4 linked regions of the Styela clava genome follow. The protein of the gene in region 2 interacts with the protein of the main gene of each other region in a pairwise test. Links are inferred from orthologs where the notes say so. Each region holds a gene or a part of one and is shown on either strand. Other genes may lie near its edges.

Region 1 (7,233 bases), on a different chromosome or scaffold from region 2:
ATTGAATTCATAAAAGGGCACTATAATCTAAGCTGCAACTCAAACACTTTAAAATATATTACAAAAAAATTATAATTGTTGTCCAAAATTCATTCATAGTGTTTATTTTGATAATTTCAAATCTGTCAAGTTACTAAAGAGGGGGAGAGATGGAATAAATTATCGGCGGTGATTAGTTGAGCTTGACGGTGTGGCGCATCGTGTTGAGTGTTAGGGATACGCTTGCCGGCGCATCTCTGATTACCCTGCTTGATTCGAACGTTCGAATTCTGTGGGGGGATTCAGAGCAAAAAAACAAACGAAAATATAGAAAAAGTGATTGTATAGCAAATATACAGCAAGTGCATATATGATGACTTAGTATGCGAGGTGATAACCTAACTTATCCTAACCTGAAACTGTCATGTCATTCTACTACTACTGAACAGAGCCCAAAAAACAGATCAGAAAATAAAATAGTGTCTAATGTCTGTCTTATGTTAGGTCCCCATTTCTCAACCAATGAGCTATGGCCCACTCCTTGGCCGCAGAAAGATTTCGAGTTAGGCCACAAAACAACCAAAAATTGATAATCTGATTTGTGTCACTATTGTTAATTTTAATTGTAGTACCAATGATTGATCGTGCTGTTTTCTGCTACTGAATGGTATATGTCATTCTAATTATTAAATTGAAATTATCCATTTTTGCAAAAAAAATTCGTTTTATTCTCGTAGTTTTTCATTTGCAATAAAAAGTTGATGGACCACATGAATTTTAGGTTTCCCTATATTTGAACCCATAATTTGAACCCATAATTTGAACCCACGACAATTGCACCTGCATACTATTGCACCTATGGAAATATTTTTCGTTTTATGGATATTTGAACCCATACTAACCCTAACCCATGGGTTTTAGCACCCGCATATAGATTGAACCTGCCGCGGATGAAAATGTATGGGTTCAAATGTGCTGTCATCGAATTTTAGGCAAAGAAAATGGGCCACAAAAAAAGGTTGAGAACCACTTTTCAACCTTATCTAAGAAAATAAATCAGAAAATTAGTGGGGAAAATGACTTATATTAGATCAGATCAGGGTAAGTTAGGTTATCGTCCCGCCTTCAAACCTAGTCTAAGAGAAAAAAAAAGTCGAAGAAAATTAGGAGGCTAAAACAAGCTAATTTTACTTTATGAAATTTGCATAATCATGAAGAGACTCTGAGTAAAAATTTTTTAAGAACTCTGATAAAATAATAATCTTGAGAGAATTTGCTCGTTGTGATGTACGCTCACTCGGTAGGAAAAATGACTCATATCTGAGCAAAATTATGAGCGACAACAAATGCCAAAACCTAATGAGCAAAAATAGCAAAAAAAAATAATTCTGATTTTCTGAATTTTGAAAAAGGCCTTTGTTTTTTTTTTAATCAAAATATCCTGACCAGTGGTTCTTTTTAGCAACAGAGCCAGGGTTCAAACCGCCGCAGAAAGAATAGTTGAGAATTGCCGATCATGACAGCTTTGAACATAAATCCTACTTTATACCAAAATTATAAAAAATGAGAAACAAATTAAAATCATATTTAAGGTAATCCAGAGAAAACTAGTAAAAAAAATATCATCGTGCAACTTTACTTTGATTTTGCTTTATTCTGCTCAACCCAATTGGCAATGACTTGATCTTCGTGGTCGAGAATTTGACTGATTTGAAGAAATGAATGTTGGGACAAAACATCAGGAGACGGGCGAGATTTCGCTTCTTTTTGTAGACAGCCGTTAACGAAGTCGACAATTTGAGAAGAAAATTTGTCCGTTGGTAATTGTGGTGGGGCTGCGTTTACGATACATTGTAAAATTTCCATTGGTACCACCCCTCCTGAGCTGCGAATTTTCATAGCTAATTCTGGGTAGGGGTATTCCCCTGTTGCCATTTCACATATGGATAACCCTAAGCTCCAAATGTCCGAGTAAAAAGTATAATCAAAACCTTCGACCCTTTCGGGAGCCATGTAGGCGTTCGTACCGATATAAGTTTTAGCAATTGAGTTCACAAGCTGACGGCTGACGCCAAAATCGCATAATTTTACTTGTCCGTTACTGTTCACCAACATATTTGAAGGCTTCACGTCTCTATGCATTATTTTTCTCCCCCATAAAAATTTTAACCCCGATACTACCCGGTGAGCGATACGCTTTAGAACAACTTCTGGTATCTTCCCAAAACGGTCCAATGAACCTCCGTCCATGAATTCAGTGCATAAAAATATTTTATTTTCGTGCGAAAAAGCCCCATAAAAGTCTATAATCTGCGGGGAACTATTACATTGGCTTAAAATTTCCAATTCTGACTTTATTCGGTTCTGTTCTTCGCCTGTTAAATCAATTCCAATAGACTTAACAGCCATCACAATCCTCGACGCTTTGTGAATTACTTTGTAGACAATTCCGCTGTTTCCATTTCCCAATGTTTCTACGTAAGATAATGCTCGACTGGACAGCCCCTCCATTTCATGAAGCTCTTTTTTATTTTCATTTATACCCTCAGTATCTGATTCCGGAATTCTGTATTGTTGCTGGTAGTTTTGTTCGGCAGCAGTTGCGCTTGATTGGGTCTGTAATTTTGAAGAATTTGAGGTTGATTGTTGTGTCGAGGAAACAGCATTCTGCGCGATGAGTCGTTTTGACGGCGCAATTTCAAGCTTGAGACCAAATTTGTTACGATTCCCGGGGTTTTTGCAAAGTTTTGGACGAATAGTTATTCTCTCTTCATCTTGGCTTCGATAAAATTCAATCATTGAGTCCAGATCGCCTTGATTTTTCACCGTTATTATATCTTCCTCCTCATCAGCGTACTCAAACGCTGACACAATCAATTGGTCATCACTGGCTTGATAAATCGCATCAAGAAAATCACTGAACGTAACATTCTCCGGTGATTCAACGATCCAATCAATTTGCTTTCCATCTCTAAACGAAATCCTTATCAACATTATCAATATTACTGGTAGATTAGATAATTCATATCATCTTAAAAATAGAAGATAAATACATATATAAAAATATAATTTCTAGTGAGCAATGTAAGTTATATAATTCGGCGCTCCAGAAGTGTGTGTACCAATATGAAGGTAACTAGTTTTGTTCGCCTACTTTACATCAAGTTGTGTAAAAGGACTGAAACCTATGAGCAGGAGGTATATTCACTCGGCTTACACAGACAGTCCTTGAACTCGTAATAGAACTAAAATAAAGAAAATCGAAATAAAATTATGGCCTAACCCTAACCTGGTACACACATTACAGAAATACCGATAATTCATACGGTAAACTGTCTTGAAGCCAGTTTCAGTAATTCCAAACTTTTCAAATTAGATATTAGAACCTTGCTTGGTAACAAGCTTTGGTACTCTGCAACTACCCTTACCCAGTAAAAATGGATAATTCTCGTTTTCTCGTAATTTGTGCTCGAGTGGTGTTTTTTTACTGGTTGGAAAAAAGAAACTTGACTTGAATACAACAGATATTCCTTGAGCCTCTGGATTGATTCATTGAGATTCCAGTCCAATAAAAAGATTGATAACTACTGCTCTGTGATGGACTTCCAATATTGAAGAAGAACTGATAGTCCATATATACGGTAGTTTTAACTTTATTACTAACTCTAAATTCTAATTTAGGGAATCTAAATTGAAAAGACATTTACACAATTAAAACACACAATACTGAAATAGCATATCGGCAAAAATTATAGCAAATAATAAGGAAATAGACTACCCTGGAACAATTTAAACCCATATCCCCCTGTGAATTAATGAAGCGTGCCCAGTCGGAACAATCTTATCCCAAAGGAAGAGTACCAATGCTGCCAGTTTGTGCTTGAATGAATTTTAACAAGGATGAAGTCACATTGTACTAAAGTAAACTTAGACCATACAATGAGCGGAATGTTCAAAAATCCTAAAATGATTTTGTTATGAAGTCATTTTTCAATATATCTTGATAACCAGGTTTGTTTTATTATAATCAGTGTTTACCTCATTAATATGCCTGCAAACAAACTACATAAGGCATCGATAATTTCCCTTCGCAATTTTTTTCTTTTTATAAGGAAATTTGCCCAAAGTAAAATCATGCGCACTCAGTCGGAAATATGGGGAAATCAATCTATTAGCAAGAGATGGACGACTCTTAAAGTGACAAAAGCTGACTGTGAAAGAATGAAGATAAAATAGAGCAATGGAAGTATTACATCAGCATGAATAAAGACAAGTCACAAGACAAATAAAAAATATTGTTTTTCACACTTTTGTCACTCTGAACAAGGCTTAGACAAGCAACCACTGTTATGTAGGGGCTATAATGAATTCAGGAGCCAGGGACTTACCCAGGGGGGGATGGAGGTTTGTAGGTTTCTCCCCCCCCCCCCCCCCCTCCGCCATTTCAAAAGGGAAAAAAAAAGATTCTGTATTATACATAGTAATTTTTTTGCTTGAAACGCTTTTTAAACTTCCATGTTTCCGAGCCAGCCAGCTGCTACAGTCTAACTTGGCAATTGGAATAGGAGAAAGGGTCCGAAGTTTAGAGTTATATCAAATTATCACAAATATTGAATTTTATCAAATAAAATTTGGCAAATATGATCTAATTGGGGTAATTTATTTGGACTCAGATATTAAACATGTTATTTTTCCCTAAAAAATGACAAAAAAGTGTAAGTAAAATGATAGCCGTTCAAAGAAATGTTTTTAAAAAAATATACAATAAGCAAATTAACACAGATCACTTTCTCAAGAGTCCCCAAGACGAATTGAAATTTTCAGGTCTCAGTAATCAATTTAAAAATAAAAATAATAGAAATATCAAAAACATTACTTGAAAAAGCAGCAAAAAAAATGAGAAATATAAGCAGTGATGCATATCATGTCAACAGTCACGCATGAATTATCAAAATGACAAATTACTGATTTCAGTAGTATTCACAAGAATAAAGGATAAGATGGGTTTTTAATATTTACCATGGAGGGGATGAAATTAAATAAGTAGACTTATCCCTATGGCCTTAATCATTCACGCATGAGCCAACTCATTCATGCATGACCAAACTCATTTAGGCATGACCTAACTCGTTCATGCACAAACATATCAATTGGAAAATACTGTTTTGCCACCTGCAGTATCAAAACGAAGGGAAAAAATAAAAATGTCTTGAATATAGCTTATAAAATTTACAGAAAAAAAGCGATGAGCATAAGAAAAAAGACGAACACACAAAACTGAGCAAAATAAAAACTCTGTGTGATTCTGCTGAATTATACAACTAGCATATGTTTCAAATGCTGCAAGGACGGAGATATTTAAATGCATCGAGTGATAAATCTGCTTAAACTCTTTTATATTATCTAAACCAGGGGTGGGCCAAATGCGGCCCGCAAGGAAAAATTGTGCGGCCCGTGAAGAATTAACAATTCTAAATGGTGTGCCCGCAAAACGAGTATTCATCCTCCGTCGTCGCAAAGCCTATACCAGTCCTTTTAGCAAAACAAGCTAGCGAAATTCTGTTGCAAAATACACGATATAGGTCCTATTACAAAAACGTGTTTCTCACTGAATGGGTTTAAAGTCGGTGTGACAATAAAGTCAAATGTGCGTTTCAACTCACTATTTGTGCAAGAATCCCTAGTAATGCCGTAAGATCACTAGCAAAAATAAACGATTTTTGTGCTTGCAACTACTGGAAAGTCTAAATTAAATAAAAGTTCGCCCGCAGATTCACCCAGTTAATTGTATTTGGCCCGCTAATGAAAAAGGTTGCACACCCCCGATCTAAACCAGTGGTTTCCAAAGCTGATTGACCGCGGCCAAAATTAGAGACGGAAGGATATTCACAGGCCGAAATAGAAAAACGCCCGCAAGGGGTGATACTGGCTCTGTTACTTATAATTAATTGGAAAGTGTAATTGAATTGTCACGAATATACATGTGCTTAATCGTCTAATCCGAGAGCGTCCATGTCTTCTAATTCTTCATCTGAACTCTCTTCGTCCGTATTATTATTAATATCCATGTCGGTTATGTCTATATCGAAAGTTAATTTTTCCACCTCCCCAGGGATTTTTACTCCAAATTTTTTGCATAATTCTTTTAATAATAATAATGATGTAACAATTGGCGGTATCCAGAACGTAAAAACAGAAAGTGTTCAATTATTTCACTTGAGTTCAGCGGGCCATGTTAAATCGATACTAGGGCCGTAATTGGCCTGCTGACTGCGGTTCGGGAACCACTGATCTTAATAACAGAGTGTGACCCCTACTTCAAATAAATTTGTAAGAAAAGCAATATCTTGCCCATAATTTTTCAATTAACAACAGTATAATAAGCTTCCATCTCATCAAAGCATTATCAACAAAAAAAAAGAGGATAAAATTTTGACTCAAATATGGCACTGATAGTCATGAGTCTAGCCAACTGATTTCAACCAAACCAAGAAATCAAAAACAAGCGGCATCAGTACGTTCACATTAGGATCAAAATATTTGGACAAGTGTTACATCATATCAGGTTAATCAAATCTTTTATGCCAAATTCAATACACACAACATACTTGAATGTCGTACATAAAAATAATATACTGTGATTCAAGAGTCTTGCTGCATACTAACAAAAATAAATTTAACACAAATAAGAAATAAATTGACAAGAAAACTTCTCTATTCATCCTAGTTTCATTACTCGATAACGTTATTTCCCAGGGTGTTTTAACTTTGTTGAGCTTGAATTGTTCGGACATAATGGGATTTGGAATCTACCAATCAAAACAACACCATATATACCACTGGAATGATAAACAGTGAGCCATGAGTGCTAAAAGCCTTCGTAAGAGAGCCATAACAGGTTGGGAACCACTGTGCTACAGCATCTTTACAAATCGCATATCCAATGCAATAGCACAAAGCCACAAAGGAAGGGATAGGGAGTTCGTCTCGCGTAACCCCAACTGATTCAAAACACACAACAACATTGAAATGTCGTATAAAAATAATATACTGTGATTCAAGAGGGTTGATGCATACTAACAAAAATGCATTACTGTAGAGTAATTTCATTCTTACTATAGTACCCTTGCATTGCACGCACACAGATCCATCCCCTTAAAGACACAAAGGAAGCGTAGGGAGTTAGTCTCGCGTAACCCCAACTGATAGTAAAATAATTTTATTGAAATTACAATCTTTTGGACTTAATTTTTC
Region 2 (7,870 bases):
CAGGAATTTATTCGCGCTTGAATTTTTGGAAATATGCGTAATAAAAATCGGGGATGGCCCATGTTCTTCTGTAAATCCTCCCGTGATTTTAAATCCGTAATTTGTAGAAGAAGGTTTCCGTAAAACCACCTCGCGTATCGATGAAAACTCATGTGTAGCAGCGAGCCACATTTTCCAAGATGGAGCCCATTTACTTGGATTTTGATGTAGAGAAGTCAGTTCATCCCATAAAGCTGTGTCTTCAGCTTTCCCTTCATATTCTAATTCGTAAGCAACGAGAGTAACTTCTCTTTGCTGAGCTGATTCCCGTAATGCGTTCATTGCTTGAGTGTGAGAGAGACCAGTTAAACGTATCGAGTTTATTTCTGAAAGGAGGTCGCCACGACGTATTCGCTTGTCTTTACCTAATACTGACATGGAAAGAACATCTTGAACAAATATTGGTAGATTTCCACGAGGGCTCCCATTTCCTCCTGAAACAATGATTCCTAAATTTTCCTTTGGTGATTTTGTGACAGAAATTATTTTTTTCGTGTGGGATGATTTTGACAACTTCTTTTGCTGCGGCGAATACGGATTCGTGGATTTTGACATTGAAGTAGATGCATCATTTGAAGCACTTTTCTGCCTTTGTATTATTGAATCATGAGCCCATTCGTTACAGACTATAGTAGGTTTAACCAGCGGATGGCGAACTAGTATTTTTACTTCTTTATCGCAACTTCCGATAACTCTAGCAGCTTGTTCTGGTGTACTATCACCGACTTCGGTGTTCCCAATTTTCATTATTCTGTCTCCGACTTGAAGACGACCGTCCGATTCCGCAACTTGACCCGGGATTAGTTCAATGATATAAACACCTTTCGCTCCGGTTTCACTAGAAGATATACGAATCCCGAGCTGCTCAAGCGGAGGTTTGATGAGGCCAACACATTCCTCATAATATGCAGAAGAGCTTGGTTTTCTGACTAAAGAAGCAACGCTGTCACTGGGGTCCTCATTGTCCACATCTCGTAACAACATAAACCTCATTAAATTAGACGGCTTCGTAAGCGCAGCACGAGCTTCAGCATGCATTACTGAAAACATTGGTTCTCCATTTATCTCCATTATAATGTCACCAACATGAATACGACCATCTTGAAACGCTAAACTCTGCGGTAAAATATCTTGAACAATAATATAATGCAACGGCGTATCACTACCACCGACTATAAGCAATCCAAGCTCAGCTGTACCTTCTGGTCGAAACAATTCAACGACAACTTCTTCCGAAAAAGGGTGCAAATCTGAAAGCTTATCATTGTTATCCTTGAAAGCACAAATTTTCAAATGCGCTTCGATACCAGCTCTTGGACCTTTATGATCACAGCCATACATCGATTTAGGGCACCGTGAAACGGCCCCTGGGCATATTTCCTTTAAATGGCCCTTAAGGTCACAGCGCTGTATTTTTTTATCACAATATTCCTCATGCGGACAGGTAACTGTTAATTTGTTAACTAGTTTTCGTAGAATTAGACTTGACTGCCAACAGTCTGTTGCTGTGTTGGTTAATTCTTCTCTATCTACTGGACAAATGTGTTTCACTCTTAAATAATTTTTGATGCAAATAGAACAGAACGTGTGTCCGCATTTTGTATCGTAGGGATCAACCAGTGGTTGCAGACAAATATCACACATCAGGTCTTCATCAACTTCGTCGACGTAATTATATTCATGATTTTCCGTAACACCGTGATTCTGCCCACAGCATTTGCATAACGGTGGTGATTTAGGTACAGGTGATGTGCTTTTGTGAGTCGTTTCGTTTACATTGTTCTCGACACTAGATGTCCTCATTTCAGTACTAGGTTCGTTTTCAACTGGTGAATTCCCACGAGACGAGTGCGATGAATAGGACGACTCTCTATCACTAGATGGTGTTTGACGTCCTTGACGAGACGATCGATTTGTATCAGAAATTTGCGTACGCTGTCCAGATGTTTCTGGAAGCTCCACAAATTGTCCTCCTCTATCGTTACGTGGTTGATTGGTTGTGACATGCTGGATAGTAGCGTTTGAATAATCGATTGTAGTATAACGTTCCCCTTCGACAGAAACATACTCCGGTTGAGACGAACTTAAATTTGTGTTCAAAAATTCAGTATTTCCCCATCGTTCAAGTTCAGAGCAATAACTAAGTCCTGTGTCATCGTAACTATACGATTCATTTCTTGAAATTGTTTGGTATCCGAGATTATCAATTCCACTACTAGGGCATCGAGGAGACGAATCTGAGTGATAGCTTTCTTTTTCGATGTTCGATCGTGTTTTACGATGCTTTTGTTTTGAGATCGAATTTTCTGAGGTCGGCCGTCCGACAGCGACGAACCCTATATCCCCAGTCCCACTTTTAACAGCCACTACATCTCTATTAATTTGATTTCTATTTTTCGTCAAAGTACTGGAGGATTCGATCTCACCCCCCTCTTCTTGATTATGAACGCCCACGCTGCTATCTGAGCTGAAGTCTATAAGATCGTTCTGTCCTGGCAAGCAATCAGGAGCTTGATAAGAGTATTCCATAATACGATTACTGAATAATAATATATAACTTGAAAAAAATAAACAGCCCAGTTGGAACTAATTTTAGAAAGATGTGAAAAAGACAAATGTTTATACGTTTATTTTTCTATCTTACAACCAAGAATTAAATTCCTTGTGTACAATCCAAATTATAGAAACATGAAAATAAATATCAGAATTCTTATCCATGGTTAGATATAAAAAGATGAAAGACATTGGTGAAATAATATACCATAAATACAAAACACAACTAAAAAAAAATAAAAATTTTAAACTGAAAAATCGTGGGACTGGCATAAATTGTATCTAGTTCAGGAGGGGCTTGATAAGTCACAGTAACGTCGTAGTGATGACACAAGCCAATTAGAAGTACATGTGGTACTAAACTACACCAGACCCCATAAGCAGCCATTCCAGATAACATTATTTATAGGGGTACCGGTATCGCGCAATCGCGGTACCGGTATCTAAGTAAACAATGTAAATCCATAGATACCGGTAACTTCAAGTGTTCCTCGTCATTAAAGGAAATAATAGTCTGCTCTACACTGCATAATACACACCATCAATATGTACTCATTCTAGAAATATAATTAGTAGTTACATAAATCTGCCGGGTCTACTGATTCGAAGGTTGAAGTCAAATATGAAAAAGAAAACTTAACTAAGGCGGTTGAACCATGTTGAACTAAAAGGCGAACTTGTGAGTCGTACGTGGGAGGAGGTAATTTCTCGGTGACTCACACACGACCTCTTGAGGCCTAATTCAAGTCATCAACCAAACCACGCCTCTCACAATACTCCTATCAAAAATAATCTTTCCACTGCGGAAAAAAAACAGCCGATGACTTGCTAAATTTTATTAATTATATTTATAAGATGTCGACTTCGTATACGGTTATGGCCGCAAACCACAAGATTTGCACCTGTACATACAATGTAGAAAATCAACGGTGGGAAGACGGACGTGCGCACTATCTGAAACCTGAAATAACATCAGAATTCCCCTTCCCTGTTTTCACTATAATATATTTCATTGTATTAGTTTTATTCCAATAAAGTTAATTTTCAATAAAATGTAATTCGAAAACTGTTCTTTGTTTTCAGTCCCGACTAGAACCCTGAAGACAAAACTTGTTTATATAGGTATTTAAAATACATTTTTTCAAAATCAACAAAATTTTTCGAAAAGCTCTGAAAAGATTTGAAAACAATTAGCAATAATGAAAGTAATGCTTCCAAGGGATTGAACGAAATTAAAAATAAATTCAAAAAGCAGACAAACACGATGAATGTTTTTCCAAGCATCGATTTCGTGCATAAAGAAATCGTTTAGGACAGAATATAAATATACAAGAGATGAGAAAGTTGACTTGAGGCCTTTTGCCCAGCTACCAGTTCCTGTCGGGTATAGAATTAGTAAGCCAGTTATTTGTTTTCAGATGTGTGGACTTGATGATAGAAAAAGCCGTAACCGACCAGCGTTACATGAACGAAATTCGCACAAAAAAAAACTCGAGTGTCGGGTCCCTATAGGGGTGTAGCCAGAATTACAAAAAAAAATGATGGGGGGGGGGGCGGGGAGAATGATGATGAGGTAGGTTCCAAAATGGGAATTCAAAAATTCCCGTGCAATAACTTCTAAATCGAGTGCCGTGATTACTCCAGTCTTTAAAATAGACATTTTTTCAGCGAATAATTATCGCCTTTGCGTTGACTTACGGTAAAACAAAGGGAGGACTACTCTAAAAAACTATGAAAATTTGTGGACATGTAATACGCGATACACTATACCCGGTTATGAATAGATGGATTCGAATTTTTGCAACCTTGGGATGTGTCAACTTTGAATTATTCTCTTTCAGCGCTGACTGCTACTCAAAATTATTTTTGAAATATCGCCGTTGGAAAAACCCAAGCGTCTGCGTTAAAATCCCGAACGGGCAAAGTATTTAATCCATGATTGCCACACCATATTAATAAATTTATAATGTTTGCCACTGCCGAATTGATCGATTTTATAAATGGGAGTGAACAGTACTTTTATGAAAAATATATTGCCAAGCTGAAAAATTTTCAACGGTAGCCAAACAAATTGTGCGATTTACGCGGATCTCTTAAAACAAAACTCATTGTGTTTCCCTTCGTTTTATTTACCCTTTATCATCTTTAGCATCACATCGCTGATGAATACACTATAACAACTCATTTTTTACAGTTTACTCAAAATTCCGTGCGAAAAAGCAATCATCATCTTGCTCTTGGAACAACAACAATTTGTGATTTAGGAGAATAAATACCAACGTAAAATTGTTTTTATAAAAATTATAGTTTTGGTTTATCCAATTTGGCAATGGATTTGAATTTGGCAAAAAAAAAAAAAAAAAACGTAAAGGTGTTTACGGCCTACGCCCCACTGATAAAAACAATCGGTGATTTTAACAAAATGCAATCGCACGGTGACTTTTTCAGCCTTCTGAGAATTTTGTGGGGGTCATATATAGGATTGGCCATATGTAACCGTCGATAATAACCACTATTCTTATGTAAAACCATATAAGTTCCTCGTGTCACTTTATGTTTGAACGTGTTTTTTTGTGATGACAAAATAAACGATTGATTGATTGATTGACTTATTCCGTGTTGGATAGTGTGAAATATTGTATAATACGTAATTATTATATATGCATAATACTGTACCATCGAAACAAATTACATTTCAAATCGAAACGCGTGAATTACAGTATCGTAATCATCCGTACCTTGGTAAGTGTATTACTATCGTTACCCAGTCGCAATCTCATGTATTTACACTTCATATAGCGTTTAATCCGTGTATAGCCGCACTTCATTTTAGTCAGAAGTTCAGAACGTCGTGTAGCAAAGATAGTAATCAATTCTCCCAGGTCTGCTATGGTAATTGTTCAACGCCAAGAACTTGAAAAGTACCGTCGCTAATTCGTGACGTATGTTAGGACGTAATGGCGCGCGTCATCAAAATTGCACCATCGTTACATCAGAATGACATCATAGGCTTGCACAAATAAGGCGATATAGAAAGACAATGAAGACATCGGCAGCATATACAGATATATAAGTGGCGATGATACTCATACATTTATGTTACGGTAAGTTACAGAGTTTCTGTTATTCTCAGTTACAGAGTTACTGTTATTTTGTTTGTGTGGTTGTTCTTGTAGAAAATCGGAAACCTTTTGTGAAAGTTGTGGGAAATTGAGACAGTAAATGACATGCACCTTAAACTTTGCTTTGCCTATGGTTACGGTACTGGATTAACATTCAGCAATCTTATTGACTTTCCAGTTCACTCTACGCTGAGATAAATATGAAAATCCTATGTTTGCCTTTCAACTTAACATCTATCCTTTTTTCTATATTGGTATTTCAGTATTTAAATACGGAATACAGGAATAAAGATATGGTCAACTCAATTTTAAATGGGAATGTCTTAGGCATGCCTAATATGAAAGCAATATGCCAGGAAAAGGCAAAATTCACAGAACTTTCTGAAGTTCCTGCAGATACAAGAATACTATCAGTAGAGGAAACTGGCAATAGTTGTGAATTTGGATCGGCAAAATATTATGCCATCTGTGGCTTCGGAGGGATTCTAAGTTGTGGTCTAACTCATACTGCCATGGTTCCTCTTGATTTGGTGAAATGCAGAATACAAGTTGAGCCAGATAAATACAGGGGGATTATCAGCGGTTTTAGAGTCTCTATACAAGAAGAAGGCATTCGAGGCCTAGGTAAAGGATGGGCACCTACTTTTATCGGTTATTCAATGCAAGGACTTGGCAAATTTGGATTTTATGAAGTTTTTAAGAATTTTTATGGGAATTTATTGGGTGAAGAAAAATCATATTTATGGAGAACAAGTTTATATTTGGCGGCAAGTGCTTCTGCTGAATTTTTTGCCGATATAGCTTTGGCACCGATGGAAGCTTGTAAAGTACGAATTCAAACTCAGCCAGGATTTGCAAATACTTTACGTGAAGCTTTTCCTAAAATGTGGAAAGAAGAGGGTATTACTGCCTTTTACAAAGGTTTACCTCCACTTTGGATGAGGCAAATTCCATATACCATGATCAAATTCTCTTGTTTTGAGAGAACAGTAGAGGCAATGTACAAGTATGTTGTGCCAAAACCGAGAGATGAATGCAGCAAGCCAGAGCAGCTGGTTGTTACGTTTGTCGCTGGTTACATCGCAGGTGTACTCTGCGCTATTGGGTCCCATCCTCCTGACTCGGTTGTGTCTGTACTTAATAATGACGCTGGTAGCTCTCCACTTGATGCTCTTAAAAAATTAGGGCCAGTCGGAATTTGGAAAGGTCTCACAGCTCGTATTATCATGATTGGTACTGTCACTGCCCTTCAGTGGTTTATTTATGATTCAGTGAAAGTTTATTTCCGTTTACCTCGCCCGCCACCACCAGAAATGCCAGACAGTCTGCGAATAAAACTGGCTGCTCAAGGGAAACTATGATTCAGTGTGTTTTTAATAGTTCGATTCCCACAAGCCAGATAAAAATTTGAACTTTATTTTGAGTATGTATTGAGTGATACTGATTGCCAGTGGGGCCCAATTGATGAATTTCCTTACTTTTGGTGAGATTTATTCTCTTCACGTTTAACCGAGCATTTTTTTTTTTATTAATGTAAAAACAATACATGACTTATTGCACTAAATCATGGTTAGTATCCTAATCAACTCTCTTTATGGTTATATATTCATATTTTCAGTAATGAATTTTTATTATAATCTAGGTGTTTGTATTACTATAATCGTGTATCAATATTTGTGTACTATCATTATTTTTTATGATTTCTGCCTCATCTTATCAACTGATAAAACTTGTATTCTTATCTGCACTTTTTTGAGTTTCATTTCCACAAAATAGCTAATGAACAGCATACTTTGTACCTCTCTAGTTACAGGCAACATAGATTTTATGCAATGTTATGGGCTTATGGCATCCCTTATATTTTTCTCTAGAATAATGCCTTCGTTTTCCATTTTTGAATAATCGGGATAGTAAGCTTGTTGAATATTTTCCAGTATGAATATTTCACAGTAAATAAAATATTTTTTAGTCTCTTCAGAGTCACCATAAAGCTTGGTAACATACCTACGCCGCGAATATCGGAGCCAGGGGCATTGCCAGGAGTTTTGAGGGGGGTTCTGAGATTTCTAATTTCTCAGTTGGATCGTATCAGCTAGGGTGCTGTGTATGTACTAGTGTGCATGCGATGTATGATACCGAAAAATTTTTTTTTACAT
Region 3 (7,878 bases), on a different chromosome or scaffold from region 2:
AAATGGACCAATTCTCATCAAAACATTGGTTGTGTCTGCAGGAGAGAGATTTGGCATATGAGGGTGGGAGTGCGGTACTTCAATTTTACCATTGAAAACCTCTGTCCCATAACTTGGCAAATCTGCTGCCTCTTTCAAGAAAAAGTACATGGCTCGAGATTGTGTTTGTCCTTCTAATGATTTGTGAAAATCAGCAATTCTGAAAAATAAATATTTCTTTACTTAAACTACCAATTCCATAACAAAATTAATATTGTTGAAAAAGGGCAAACAGAAATTATGTTATGAAATTTAACAATATTTTTAGGTACAGTATTGTGAAAGTTAGGCCAGTAGCCACACTCATCACAACACTCGAAATACTGTTTAATCAATGATCTCAAACTCGCAAAAATTGAGCAGGTAATTCAAACTGAATATATCTTTTAATTAGTACATTTGTAATATTCTAATCTGTGAATAATACACCAATCATAATGTTTTTTCAATGATTACCATCTTAGCTAGGATTCAATCAAATGGGCTAGTTCAGTTTAATATAGCAAGAAATATAGTGTCTTCAAATCTGCTAGATACTAACCCAGTAATATCTTCATCTGTCAAAACTTTGTCCCCGAACTTCAAACTTTTATAGATATTCGTTGAATCCATGGCAGAACAATCCCCATGTTCAACTTGTGCAAGGTACGCCGCAAGCTGAGGGATTTTGTTTTGCGGAACTGTTAACTTCCCGTCTATGACGTCTTGGCGAAGTTGATAATAGAAGATTTGTCTGAAATAGTTTCATTTTTTTCATTAGTTGACGAATTTTATAAATTTGTGTATAGAATTAGATAGTTCGCATTAGTGTATTTGGAATCCTGAATCCTTTTATAAATTCATGTAAGATATGATATAAAAACATTTACACTAATGGTTACTTTTTAACTTTTGAATATTAGCATGTTTGGCATTCCACAAAACTTTTTTAGTTGATTTTTATATTGAATCATGTTTAGGAAAATGAATGAACCAAACAACAGTATGTTTAAAACAGCTGTGAGTGATATGTTCCAAATGAAATAATAATTCAAAATATTCAATATGAAGAAATGCATTTGAATACCGTAATTGGATGTTTTGAACAACTATGCTTTGCCAATTAATCATTTGATAAATTGATGGAAATAAATTTGTCACTTGAAAACTAGAACCAACAGAGAAAAGAGGACAAAATCGTAATTTTGGTTTGGTGTCGAATACTTGATAAATTGATATAAAACAAAAAAAATCCACAAACCTGGTAGATTCCTGCAGTAACTGATGAGGTTGAATGTAGTATTTCACTCGCAATCTTAGTCGATATGGTGGTTGACCAGATATTTGACCTATGACCCTATTGCGGAGATTCATCCAGAAAGGTTCACGCTTGACTGGACATACTTGAAGACCAAAGTAATCTTTTTCGACGGTGCCGATCAAATCGCAGACCTTTGAAATTAATATGCATAATTTATTACAAGAGTGCTTGCTGTTCATCATATGGGATTAAAATTCAAAAGCAAAAAAATCAAAGAGAAGTAATAAAAAAATGACTGTCAATATCTTGCTTATTACAGAAGATTACAGTCATCTTTTCCTTTTAGAATCAAATGTTTTTATGAACTTAATATAAAATTCTCCATCTTTTTAATGAGTTGCCATTTTGTACTTTTAAGCCAAACAAATTATTCAAATAGAAGTAGGCTACTAATAAAATATTACTATACTATATTATATTATACTAATACTATATTAATAATAATATAGTATAAAATACTACTATTTTGGCAATAATTGGGTATAAAAATTCCAAATTTTCAAATACTAGATTTCAAAGAAAGCAAAAATTGGAGAAAACATTTGAAAGATTCTGCTTCTGAAGTTCTACACTTTATTATATCTAGGTAAATATGATAATTTATGAAATATTAATGTAACTAAAAAAAGGCTGTATGACACAGAAAGAAACTCTTGAAACACACGTTTAGTTCAAATCAAACCTACTCAATTTTCAACTGAGCAGGGATATTGTGTTTGCGAGAGACGATTTTTTATTTAAAAAAAAATTGGGTTGTATTTTCAATTTCCATTTTTGTTTAGCGTTACTTAAGCACTCACAGCATTCAATATCACATTTGTGTTCAGCGGTATTCAAGCAGTCACGGCATTTACTTCGCGAGACCCCTTTTTTTCTATTGGTATAATCAAGTTTATTTCAAAAGTTAGTTACAAAATAATCAAGTACCGTACCTTCTCTAAAATATCTTGTCCAATTGCATGTCTGTCGACATCAACTTCCAGAACAACAGGTCGAGTGTCAGGTTTTGACACATAGCACAGTATCTGACCAGATTGCCAATTGTATAAATCTAATTGAAGACTCATGTTTGCACCACTTGTGCAAGTTTTTTTCGATAAAAATTCTTTAATAAGTAAGTTTTGTCTGAAAAATAATCAGTGTTGAATTGACTTAATATAATATTTGTAACTAATATAGTGACAATGAAGTCGCTACATTAACTACATACTTTCTTGACAATTCCCTCGCATTTAACTACAGAAAATCGCAAATTCGCATTCATACGGTAGGCTACCTTTCACTGTTTCACGTCACTCTATTCTGGTATACTATATTTAATGATATTCCTTCATCCTTTTGTCTGTCTAAGTTACAATACCACAAATATTTCAACCCTTTATTCAAGGTGTATTTATCTTAGACCGTTGCCAAATTTCGCGCACATGTTGCAACAAAAGACCTCGCGACTGACTTGCTGCAGCGCTGAACCGACGCGGTCACAGGAAATTGGTAATTTGACACGCTTACCAGCCCACAGTTTTACAGAATAGTCTTTATTTCAACATCACTATCCATTTAAGCTTAGCTAGTAATATTACAGCCTAAAGCGCACTTTTTGATACTTTTTTCAAGTAACGATCACTAACCGAAGAGCGAGGGATGACCGCCACCGACCTTCCGAGGGAAACATTTTCATCTACCGAATCGCGGAGCGTCAGCTGGTTTTGTTTGGCTGTGAAATATTCTCGCATTGTGATTGGTCAATCGTGTACTGTGACGTAACATTACTTGCGAAACATATCGATATGACCGAGGGTTACCAATTTTGTGAACGATAGTAACCTCTCTCGTTTGGGTTACAAGGATTCAGTGTATGAAAGCAACCTTCGCGTTGTTAATATTTAAACCTGTATATTCCGTCGTCATTTCGACGTTTTTATTAATTCTTTAATATTAAATAAACATGGCATTACCTGTTGTTTGCTAGATCTGAAGTACCGCAAAATGGCGACCAAAAACGCTGTATTAAACAGTAACGCAATTGTGAGCAAAATCGAAATTTGTTTATGAAAGCAATTTGTGAACATTATTCGGTAAATTTACATTCAATAATGCGTCAAATTATGAATTCGAAACTAAATTGAGTTTAAGCATTTTTTTTGAGCTTCAAATTCAACCAAATCGCTTGCCCTGAACACCAGTATTCTTAACCACACGCCAAAATAATAAATTTTTTTTATCATACTTCCTTCATAACATGCAACCAAAATCAAATTTGTTTAGAACGGGTTTCTGCGTTAAGTTTGAAATGCGACACCCAAATTTGCAGGCAATATAGCGAACAAATTTGTTATGCCGGCAATTACATGCCATCAAAAGTTATTAAAGCAATATAAACGATTGCGCCATTCCAGTTTTCGGCGTTATTTTAGGGGAAGCGAGTTCGTGCAAAACCCGTTTGGAATAGTGATAGGCTACTCTATGGTACAAATCGCCAGTTCCGCAAAGACGCTGCTTTATTAGCGGTTTTCCACTCGATTTATTTTGCTCACACAATTATCAGGTAAGATTTTCTTTCGATGTACTCTTTGAAAAGGTTTGGTGATGAAAATTGGTTATTTGTATAATCTTTTTAGAGTCCCATTTAACCTAAAGTCAGAAAATGTTTGCATAAAATAATATTCTCTGCCGAATGGCCAACCGTAGCCTCTCAACTCAATAATCATCGATTAAACACGATGAATGGACAATAATCCCGGAAGTGACGATATACCTGACCTGAATTGTTCATCACACATCAATGCAATACGGATAGTTGCATATGGTCCATGTTTCACTACAGTTTTATTGTATATAATGATGAAATAATAGTATAAGGCACATAGGTATTCCAATAAACATTCATCCAGTACTCATATATTGCGCATTATTTATAAGCGTACACTGCAATTTTGCACAAGTTTCTAGTATCGGTATGTATGATGCGATGGAAGGCTAATGTACACGAAAATCTTCCTTCAAATTTTTCTTCAATCATTTTTTTTAATTCTTGATATTCGTGTTTGGGCAAAAATATGTGAAATTTAAATGATAGTACTAAAAATGATTGACAGGGATATTCCATCATTGCAATATTCGTATGACGGTGGTCAAGCATGAAATATAACAAAATAATGAGGCAATAAAAAACACACTTATGTGCGAAAACGTACCGTAAAAAGCTTGCTCTCGATTAAAATCGATTATACAAGAAATATAAGACACTAATACTGATACGGCGAACATATTTACTCGAAGTTGTCGTTCTTGATTCCGCCCACGAAACACGTCTGCACCTCGTCAACTTGGCTTTCGTCGATTAACCATCAAATAAACAACAAATCAATTTTCTCTAAATCGGAAATTTAAATTCTATTTAATTCAAGAGTCTTGATGCACACTTACACAAATATATTTCTGTAACTTTTCGTCTGACCAAGGTCAGACTTTTTCAGACAAGCAGTTTACAACTATGACAAGAAACGCAATTGCATGCACATAAAAAATGGTATCAAAATTTCGGTTTTAGAGTTCTGGCACTGTTCCAATCTTAGTTATTTCTTTCTAACCCAAATTTTGATGCCATTATTTATGTGCATGCAATTGCGTTTCTTGTCATAGTTGTAAAATGCTTGTCTGTAGAAGTCTGACCTTGGTCAGACGAAACGTTACAGAAATATATTTGTGTAAGTGTGCAGCAAGACTCTTGAATTGAATAGAATAGTCATTTACACTCTTGCTATATAGCACCCTTGCGTAATACGCATACGGATTCATCAGCACAAAGCCATAGAGCAAGGAAAGGTAGTTAGTTTCACGTAACCCCAACTGTTAGTTACGGAAATTCAAAACAAGGAAAAACATGTCAAACTTGTGTTGCGGCGCAATGGGACATTGATTTCGACTTGTAAATAATCAATTTACACGAAGCAATATTTAAATTACTCAATCGACGAGGATATGTGTTAATAGAAAACACCCTCTATTGAACTTCACTGCGGAAGTTTAATTTTATTATATTTTTGCATTGAATAGATGATTTTACAACGAAATATTCTAATACACAAGTACATTGAGGAGACGAAAATGATTATTATTACATTACATGGTTGGTCGGTGTCCGGTCTTCGTATTGGGGAAACACAATTTAAAATTGGCCTTATATCACAGGTATATGTGTGAAAATGGGTTGAAAAAAATCTTCTTTCATTTCGGATAATTTAATCAACTCTGGTACGAAATAAAAACATTATTTAAGCGTAAACAAACACTGAGCACAATTAATGGGTGCTGTTGTTTTCAAATAAATTTATTTCGGTGTATTGGAAAAACTTGTTCTTAGTGTATTTATTGAAACATGTAGGCTAGCCATCGCGTTTTATTTTTCTTCTTTATGAAAAATTACATCAGAAAGTGCTATTGCAACTTTCATATACATTGAAAGATAAACAGGAAATTCTATTCGATCTTATCTCGACAATTCACAACCTATGAAGGTTAAATTTTAATAAGTCAACGAGGGAACGCAAGCAAGGTTTAATAAATAATATATTTCAATCAATCGCCTTTACTAGGCATAAGTGGATGAATCTCTATTTTTCTCAGTATCAGTACCGTAGGTCTTAACATTTACCGTAATATAAAAGCATATTAGGTCCCAGAAACAGGCGAACATGCGACTGGTAACCCAGATGAACATTCAGAACATGTAATGACAATCGTAGACTAACAGATTGCCATACACCAATATGTAGGGTCCATAAAGTCTGAAATAATATTTTAAAATTGCAAAGGGAATTTATCGATATCATATGCCACCACAAATGTAATGAATAAAGTATATATACCAGAACAATTACTGATTAAAAACCAACAAACCTGGTTAAGATATATTGAAAACTGACTTCAAAACAGAATTGAAATTGCAAGGGGACTTTATGGACACCTTGCACTAAATGTATAATTAAACTATAAATTCCAAACAGAGCCCCTGTGGCACTACCGCCTTTAGTTGGCCGCACAAATAGAAAATATTTACCGCTTGTCAAACAAAATAAAATGCTTCGTAACACAACAAAGCCACAAACTCACTCGCATTGTAAATATTTTGTTCGTTTTCCACGATGTGCTGAGAGTGACGTCACAGACCACAGAAAAAATATTGTTATTTGCGAAAAGTTTCATGTTCATAATATTATGCAAACTCAAAAGCGTTTGAAAAATTTTGCAATTTCGTTAAACACGCTGACCCACAAAATCCATATTCTTGAACGTTCTTCAATTAACTGGTCAAACGATCTGAACCCGTTACCGGTACCGAGCAAGAGGTAATATGGCTCGTCATATCACTATGTCGAAATAATATATTTCCTCTCAAATTATGAACGTGGAACTCTTGCCTTGTGTCTACTTTTGGAAATATTGAATCCGCATATGTTATATATTAGAAATTCTACCACAAATATTTCTAGCATTCCCAAACTCCAAAATATCCTCATATATATATGTGACAGCGACAGCAGCACGTCTGCTCCAAACGACAGTTTGCTAACAACAAAAAAACAGAAAAACAATTTTGCAGATTTCACACTGTCGAGACAAATGAGTCAGTACATGCTTCAATGATTTTCTTTGTTTCATCACAAACAACGATCTCCCTCATTCAGAAATCGAGAGGTTATATATTATCCCATGCCGAATGTGAGAGAGTGATAAATCGCGCCCTGTTACTGCGATTCACCCTTGGTCGATTATGGTGCTAGACAACGCACTGTTAAATTTGATACTTTGCCGTGATCCCCTTTACAGCGATCAGCTGGTAATTTCGTCGTCGTCGTAACTTTGAAGTACTTTTTCGCTTCGGGGGATTTAGCAATTAGCGAAATCGTATTTTGTAATCTACGTTGGTGATTTAATCCAATTTGCGGATTTCTGAACTTCAAAAACTGCACGATCATGAAATTTTGGAATAAAAGTGTCAAAACAAATTAGACAATTTCATTTAGTATCAAAATACTCAACTTCAAATTTTAACGACCTTGGTAAAAATTGTTATTCCTAATAATACTAAAAGAGCGATTTATCATTTCGTCAATCAAAATGTATTGCGGTGTACTAGGATTTTTTATATTGGGCTCTATGTTCTTTCTCTTTGTCTATTTCATTTTTCCTACTAATTCTCACACTTAATAATACACCCCACTTCCTACAGCACTACTTCTCCTTTGAATGTAGTCATCGATATTTGGTATCAGTAGGAATAACGTAACAAGCACTAGATTTTTCTGGTAACGGGGTACACGGAGCGGGAATCAGATAATTTAATTATTCGTTTTCTTCTGATACTGACAACGTATTTTTCGGGGGAAACATTATTCTTCTAACCAAAGTCATTGAGCAGCAAAAACAGAATAATATTCGTTCGTCATCCGTGGACATTATGTCAAATAAGCCCAAAGCCCAAAGTGGCTTCTACGGATGAGGCCATTCGAATGACGTTTGGGACCATACAACAATCC
Region 4 (6,923 bases), on a different chromosome or scaffold from region 2:
TAAACAGACAATATCATCCTTACAGACTGGAGGGATTTCAACAGAAAAAGTAGTTTTATAGTTATAGGTACTTGTATGGACATCATGCGAAATTAACTGCTGTGCTGACTGGTAACGACAAGGCAACATGCTCATAAGAAAATCAGTAAATTTTCTGGCATCTTGTTTAGATGAATAGAAGAAATCAAGCCCATTTGGATTTTCAGATAGCTTCGTACATGTAGAGTGCATTTTATGTTTCAGAATAATTTGTTCCAAATAATAAAATGTCTTCTTATGCGTTGTCTTTTGTCTAGCTTGTACAACAGAATTCCAGAAATCTTTTGCTTCTATCCTATGGCAGTCATTGCACATATGATTATGAATAACAAATTCGACGACAAAAGTTTGCTGTAAGAATGTGCCACCATCAACTTCTTTTTGAATAGCAATTTTAACTTTAATTCGTTTAGAATGGGGTTCAGTCCAAACAAATGCAGCATCCACCAAACGTACTTTTGACAGCGTTGACTTGAGCCGTTTTAAACAAATTGCGAGTAGTTCTCGCGATTCAAGAGCTGCCTTTGTCCAAGCATTGGGAGGAGAATGATATCTTTCACAATTCCTGCACATTAGCAAATTTCCAGACTTTGGTATACCATCAGTAATATCAACACGAGAACGAAGGCAGTCGACACATGTATTACTTGGATTGGGTTGTATAGGAATGCCGCAATCACAACACAATATTGTGTCCATTGTTTGGGTTGAGGGCATTTCACTCATTGTTTCCATTTTCAGGTTCAAATTAAATTACTTATATTTGATCATGTGTGATTCCTAAAGAAAATGTGTTACTGGTAATTCAGATAATAGATATTGCCAGGAATGACTAAAAGTCTACGGAATATTTCAAAAATAATATTTTCAAATACATATATTATTTCCTACCTCTCACTATATATTTTCTAAATCATGCCCAACAATTTACATGTTTATAAACTTGAGATGTGCATACATATGTAAATATGTCAGACTTCGGTAAGATTAAGTTCATACATAATAACTTCAAGTCAATAAGAAGTTCAATTAAAAATTTAAATTTATTTACAAATATTAGTACATATCTCATCTACTCCCTAATTAGGTTTAGTCTGCTAAATTTTTTGGTTAATATTACACCAAAACCAGAAAACCATATGAGAATGTACAAAATAAAAGTTGCTTCAAAAACAAACACCACTAACAAACATCATCCATGTGAAATGAACACATAGTAAAATAGTGTTCAAAGGAATTATCTGTCATAGCCTAACTGCAGAACTGCATTAGCTGGGTTACAACAGGTCATTACTTTTTACAGTTTTATAGCACTGCGTTGGACCTAAAATTAAACAAACTTACAGACATACTGTTACTATACCATTATACCAAAAAACACATTAACATTATTATGCATATAATTAGAAAATGCATGCATTTTTTTTTCTTCAAATGGATCCACAATGTAGATTATTCAATAAGTAAATAATATATAAATTAAATATATGTTAAGACATCTTGTGTACTAAAAGTGAAGAAACATATATATCAGTAATATCAAGATAATTCCATCAGATGTAATATTCCATATAATCCAGGGAGTTCCAATAATTCATTCGTTGATTTCGTAATACAAATTACATCGTTTATTTTTAATTATTTAGCATAAAAAAACTTAATTTTAGAATCCGTCACAATTTATTACATATCATGGCAAGTTCTTTTATATAACAAAATTCCTTTCTCCCTTTTTCTATATTTCTTCTCATTATAAGTGAGTTCCTAATTTTCATACCGTAATAACATTATTTATGCTTAGGTTATGATTTTGAAATATCACAGCATTACACTCCAACCAAATTTTATATCTTGCTGTACAAAATAACAATATATTAGAGTTACGTTGTATAATGGATAAATTTGAATAACAGTGATCATTTAAGTCCAATAAAATGCAAGTTTTATAAATATTTTTCATCACACAGTTTCTCATTTTTAATGCCACAGAAAAGATATAATCATAGACATTCTGTTTAAAAACAATTCCAAAACAAATGAGACACAAATTCAGAATCTTATTTACATAACACACAAATATTATCCCCAGAAATATGTCTTATTCTTGGCTTAACTTTGATTGATAAAATGTCCCACATTAATTTATAATTGAAAATCTTTACATTATTGGCCAAAATTTTAGAATGTATATTTGAACAAGCCCCTATAAAATTACCATCTCTCAAAAAAACAATTCTATCTTCACCCTTCGAATTATTAACAATTTTATTACCGTATATAAATGTCTATGCTTTTCTTGAATTAAATCAGTTTCAGTGATGTTGTACCGTAAAAGCAGGTAACTTCCGATGGTTTGTAACTTCGGATGAAATTTTTAATCGTCTATATCTTGACTAAATTACTTCATCTTGTGCTTCTGGCAGTTCTATGGAGAGTCCTTATATATCTAAATCTGATATCGAATGGAATCGCTCAATAATATTTATTTTTTTACACAAAAAAACACATTTTAGCCAGAATGTTGATTATAGTTCCATAGTATTTCTGAGAGAAAAAACATGGGATACACTATTATTAATAGGCAATTTGAAATATATCTTAATAGAGCACATTTTTCAGCCACCCTAACAAACAAGCCATGTGTTATTTGTAAATTGGACCCCATGTTTCAGTCGGTCTGTACTGTACTACAGTATTGATATTCAAACAATTTTCTTATTTCCACTTTTTATGGATTGATTAATTTGATTTATTATCAAATCATGACATATAAAAACTTCATGCCGAGTCATTGTGAACGGCAATTTTGACGTGAATTTTTGTCTATTACCGGTACCGGTACCGTATTTTCTAATTCTACATAAGAGGGATAAGTTTGACATCGGGTGTGATTACCAAATTACTTATCTATGGTTATCGATATCCGTCACTACAATTTTTAACCAATCGTTAAAAATTAAACTCTCGTTTGTGGGTCAACTAAACATGACCGGCGAGTCCACGTTAATTAAACACGCCTCCCTGCCAGACTCTGTTTGCCACTGTCTAACTTTTCCTCGGTGATTGGACAATATTTTATGGGCGCGTCTCTTACGGAGAACCTGATTGGATGATATCATTGATGATTTAGTCAACCGGTTGCGAAATCGCTAAAGTATACGTGATGCTTGGAAATTCGAATGCAGCATAGTTACATCATAATGTTCAACCTACGATGATCAAATGCTGTCCTGTGTCAGTGTTGTTGTTATCTAAACAAAATTCGGTTTATGCGTTCGTTTTACATAGAGCAGAAAAGGTTCCAGATTTAGACTGCTCGCAGTAATTTGATGATTTACGAGACCGTTGATTGTGAATTCAAATGCTACGATACGGTACGTAATTCAGTAATTAGTTAAGTGATTAGTGTAGCACCAGAGCTTTATCCCTAACGTATATTCATCCACAATCTGGGAATTCTATTGCCATAAACAGTTGAAGAGTTAACTTTTGATAACTGTGAGTGTGTTAGTCAAAGTGTCAAGATTGTATATGCCTACTGCAGTACTGACATACACACATTAGTATTAATTTTTTCCGACCCCATAATCAGCATAAAAGGCGGGGATATAATTGATAACAAATAAATACAGAAATAGAATTAGGAGAGCAATGAAAACCTTAAGTCTGCAAGTGTCAGGGTTTTGCCAAAATGAAATGTCATGCATGTTCACTCATCTAAAATTATCAAATAAATTTACACACACACATTCCCATGCACAACCACAGAGTAATAACTCACAATGGAGTTAGGAAATCAGGAAAAACTTAAAATAAATCACATAAAAATTATTTGCCATGCCATATTAATAATTTTATAACAGTTGCTAAATTGAATATCGATTTTGTAAATAAGAGTGATTAATAAATAAAATATTTATAAATGAAATGTTGTCACGATATTATATTTGAGTCAAATGCGAAATTGTCCAATCAAAGTTGAGTGCATGAGCATGAGAAGGTGGGCAGGACCACTTTCAGACTTCATTTGAATTTGTGGCCAATCAAATATTGCTGTCTTGGGAATAATTTATCATACTGGAATAAGCTTACATAAATCATGAATTCGTGTAGGGTAAAGCCAAATCAAATCTAATTACTAAATTATGATCTATTCAATTACACATTTTTCCATTTAGCTTTAAAGTACTTTTCTAACTCTTTAGCTATCGGTGCAATAGCTGCTAGTTAATAAATACAGAAGCAATGTCAACTGAAACGCAATTGGACACAGATCCTTGTATTCTGACAAGGCATATAAATGAAAGTGGTAGAAAAGCTGGCGGAACTGGTGAATTGTCACAATTATTGAATAGCATTTGTACTGCTGTGAAAGCTATCTCTGCAGCTGTAAGAAGGGCTGGAATTGCAAACTTGTAAGTATTGGTATTTCTGTGTTTTCAAGAATTCTTATGTATTTGTAAACAGATGAACTTGTGATAAGTAAAATTTCATGTCCTTGTATTTCACAGATATGGCATATCAGGTACGGAAAATGCAACTGGTGATCAACAGAAAAAGCTCGATGTACTTGCTAATGATTTGATGGTGAATTTGCTCAGGTCATCTTACAGTACATGTCTGATGGTCTCCGAGGAAAACGATAATGTGGTTGAAGTTGATTTAAAAAAGCATGTAAGGACTGAAATTTATGACCTTGCCTACTGTTTCTGAAAACTAGATTAATACTACCAAAGTATAAATTTTAATCAACATCTTTTCACAGGGAAAATATATTGTGACATTTGATCCTCTGGATGGCTCATCAAATATAGATTGCCTGGTATCCATCGGAACAATATTTGGTATATTTAAAAAGGTGAGTAGAACAAGATTTATATTTTGGTCGGAGGATAATATCAAAGTGGTTTGGAAGACTTATGGTTATGTGACATTATAATAATAATGAATATGTTCAGTTCATCAAGTAATGAGAGTAACAACCCCAATCAACAGGTATTCTCAAGCTTCTGGTGTTACGGAGCCCTTGCAGTGGTTGAGTAGTATTAACGGAGCCCCGCAATTAATTTATAAGAACGCGTTTTTATTTACTGATTAATGTCCCTGAGTAAACAAAAATTACTTTATTTGATGATTCTGATGTACTTACTGCTTTGTATTTGAAAAATATTCAGTATTTTAATAATCAAATGAATAGCTTGCATAGCCCCAAGTTTTCTCTTACGGAGTACTTTGAGAACCTATGGTCAATAATACTGTGTAAACTATTCCCATTTCTTAATTTGCTTTTAGGCTTCTGATGGACCACCTACTGCCGCTGATGCTCTTCAGCCTGGAAATAATTTGGTGGCAGCTGGTTATGCACTTTATGGAAGTGCTACTGTCATTGTGATTGCAACAGAGCTATCAGTGGACATGTTCATGTTGGATCCTGTAAGATTCGTACAATTTGATCATCTTGTGTGTTTGTTTAAAACTCTTGACTGTAGTGTTTGGTAAGGTGTGCCATGAAATGGGTATTTACTTTTTCAATATATTAGGTTGAAAACACATGCAAAACTGATTTTCTGTTTTAATTTAGAGTATTGGTGAATTCATATTAACACAGAAAGATATCAAAATCAAAAAGAAAGGAAAATATTTCAGCATCAATGAAGGATATACGAAGTACTGGGATCCTGCTATAAAGGAATATGTTGACAGGAAGAAGTTTCCACAGGTAACAATTTTTATTATGTTATAAATTATGACTTTTTCATCAAAGTATTATAACTATTTGCTTACTTACAGGATGGTGGTAAACCGTACAATGCTCGCTACATTGGTTCAATGGTAGCAGATGTACACAGGACTCTGGTTTATGGTGGCGTATTTGCTTATCCAGCACACAGCCAGAGCCCAAACGGAAAGGTAATATTTACAATTGAGATTTACATACTCTGTTTCAGCTCTTTTATATGTTGTGTGTGCTTTTCAGCTACGTCTTCTGTATGAGGCTGGACCCATGGCTTATGTACTGGAGAGAGCTGGTGGAAAGGCAACTACTGGACACCAACGTATTATGGATATAGTCCCAGAAAACATTCATCAAAGAGTCCCAGTTTTCTTGGGGTCACCTGATGACGTTGATGAATACTTGGAAATTGTGAAAAAACACAAAAATTATGTCGCTAATGAAAAATAATCTCTAATTTCTCTTTACCTCTACAAACCTGACATGATATGTGATAGTAGCATAGTTTCATATAATGGTAAAACAGGAGTGAATATTTGCCTTGAATAGTGCCTTAATTTCATTCAAGCAGTAATTGTGCGCTTATGACTTATATATTTCTTATTAACCATTCAATAAATATCCAACCTGCCAATTGTCATATGTAGTAGCTTAATTAAGATGAAGATATAGGTGATAGAAATTGCATCTTCGGCTACAAGTTGGCTTTTTGCAGCAGAAATTTACAGTGAATGACTTGTTCCACCTTGAAGTATTATTGGCAAGTCTGCTGCAAATCCACAATTGACGAAATGATAACAGAACTCATTAACTACAAGGCCACATGTCAAGGAACAAGCAGCAGTTGGTTTAGCAAATATTTGGGCAAGATAAGACCTGGACTCTTATCTGACAAAGTTCACAGAGATGAAGCCATATAAATGTGGCTTGATGCTTCCCAGTTGATGTGAAATAACTACTGAATATTAACCTGCACACCCACTATTAAGCACAATTAGAGAATGGCAAAAAATTAAGCAGGGTGTATGTTTGGGGATCGATTTCTCTGCTATCTTACATCCTGTGGAACACCTCTCCCGACGTATCATAAAATTCATATTGTCCGTCAATAGTTGTATTAGCATTAGAGTGTCTAGGAATCTCATACTTG

Evidence for each region. The genes of interacting proteins can lie anywhere in the genome.
Region 1: the proteins of ligand of Numb protein X 2-like (region 2) and dual specificity mitogen-activated protein kinase kinase 5-like interact in binary tests that used the Homo sapiens proteins (3 or more experiments, as listed by UniProt). The link is inferred for Styela clava from reciprocal best matches to the Homo sapiens genes LNX2 and MAP2K5.
Region 3: the proteins of ligand of Numb protein X 2-like (region 2) and E3 ubiquitin-protein ligase MYLIP-like interact in binary tests that used the Homo sapiens proteins (3 or more experiments, as listed by UniProt). The link is inferred for Styela clava from reciprocal best matches to the Homo sapiens genes LNX2 and MYLIP.
Region 4: the proteins of ligand of Numb protein X 2-like (region 2) and 60S ribosomal export protein NMD3-like interact in a two-hybrid assay, tested with the Homo sapiens proteins (3 studies listed by BioGRID and IntAct). The link is inferred for Styela clava from reciprocal best matches to the Homo sapiens genes LNX2 and NMD3.

What each region holds. Positions count from the first base shown.
Region 1 is NC_135255.1:21,646,508-21,653,740, reverse strand, and holds the start of dual specificity mitogen-activated protein kinase kinase 5-like, read right to left. Parts: upstream 3,027-7,233; 5' UTR 2,974-3,026; coding exon 1,615-2,973; 3' UTR 1-1,614. UniProt on the Homo sapiens protein: Acts as a scaffold for the formation of a ternary MAP3K2/MAP3K3-MAP3K5-MAPK7 signaling complex.
Region 2 is NC_135258.1:3,219,728-3,227,597, reverse strand, and holds the start of ligand of Numb protein X 2-like, read right to left. Parts: upstream 3,017-7,870; 5' UTR 2,569-3,016; coding exon 1-2,568.
Region 3 is NC_135262.1:4,060,289-4,068,166, forward strand, and holds the start of E3 ubiquitin-protein ligase MYLIP-like, read right to left. Parts: upstream 3,027-7,878; 5' UTR 3,018-3,026; coding exon 2,968-3,017; intron 2,465-2,967; coding exon 2,272-2,464; intron 1,471-2,271; coding exon 1,280-1,470; intron 773-1,279; coding exon 581-772; intron 200-580; coding exon 1-199. UniProt on the Homo sapiens protein: E3 ubiquitin-protein ligase that mediates ubiquitination and subsequent proteasomal degradation of myosin regulatory light chain (MRLC), LDLR, VLDLR and LRP8. Activity depends on E2 enzymes of the UBE2D family.
Region 4 is NC_135257.1:11,931,587-11,938,509, forward strand, and holds the start of 60S ribosomal export protein NMD3-like, read right to left. Parts: upstream 3,027-6,923; 5' UTR 775-3,026; coding exon 1-774. Other genes in the region: fructose-1,6-bisphosphatase 1-like, read left to right, coding at 4,285-4,454, 4,551-4,713, 4,805-4,897, 5,332-5,472, 5,621-5,758, 5,830-5,949, 6,017-6,223. UniProt on the Homo sapiens protein: Acts as an adapter for the XPO1/CRM1-mediated export of the 60S ribosomal subunit.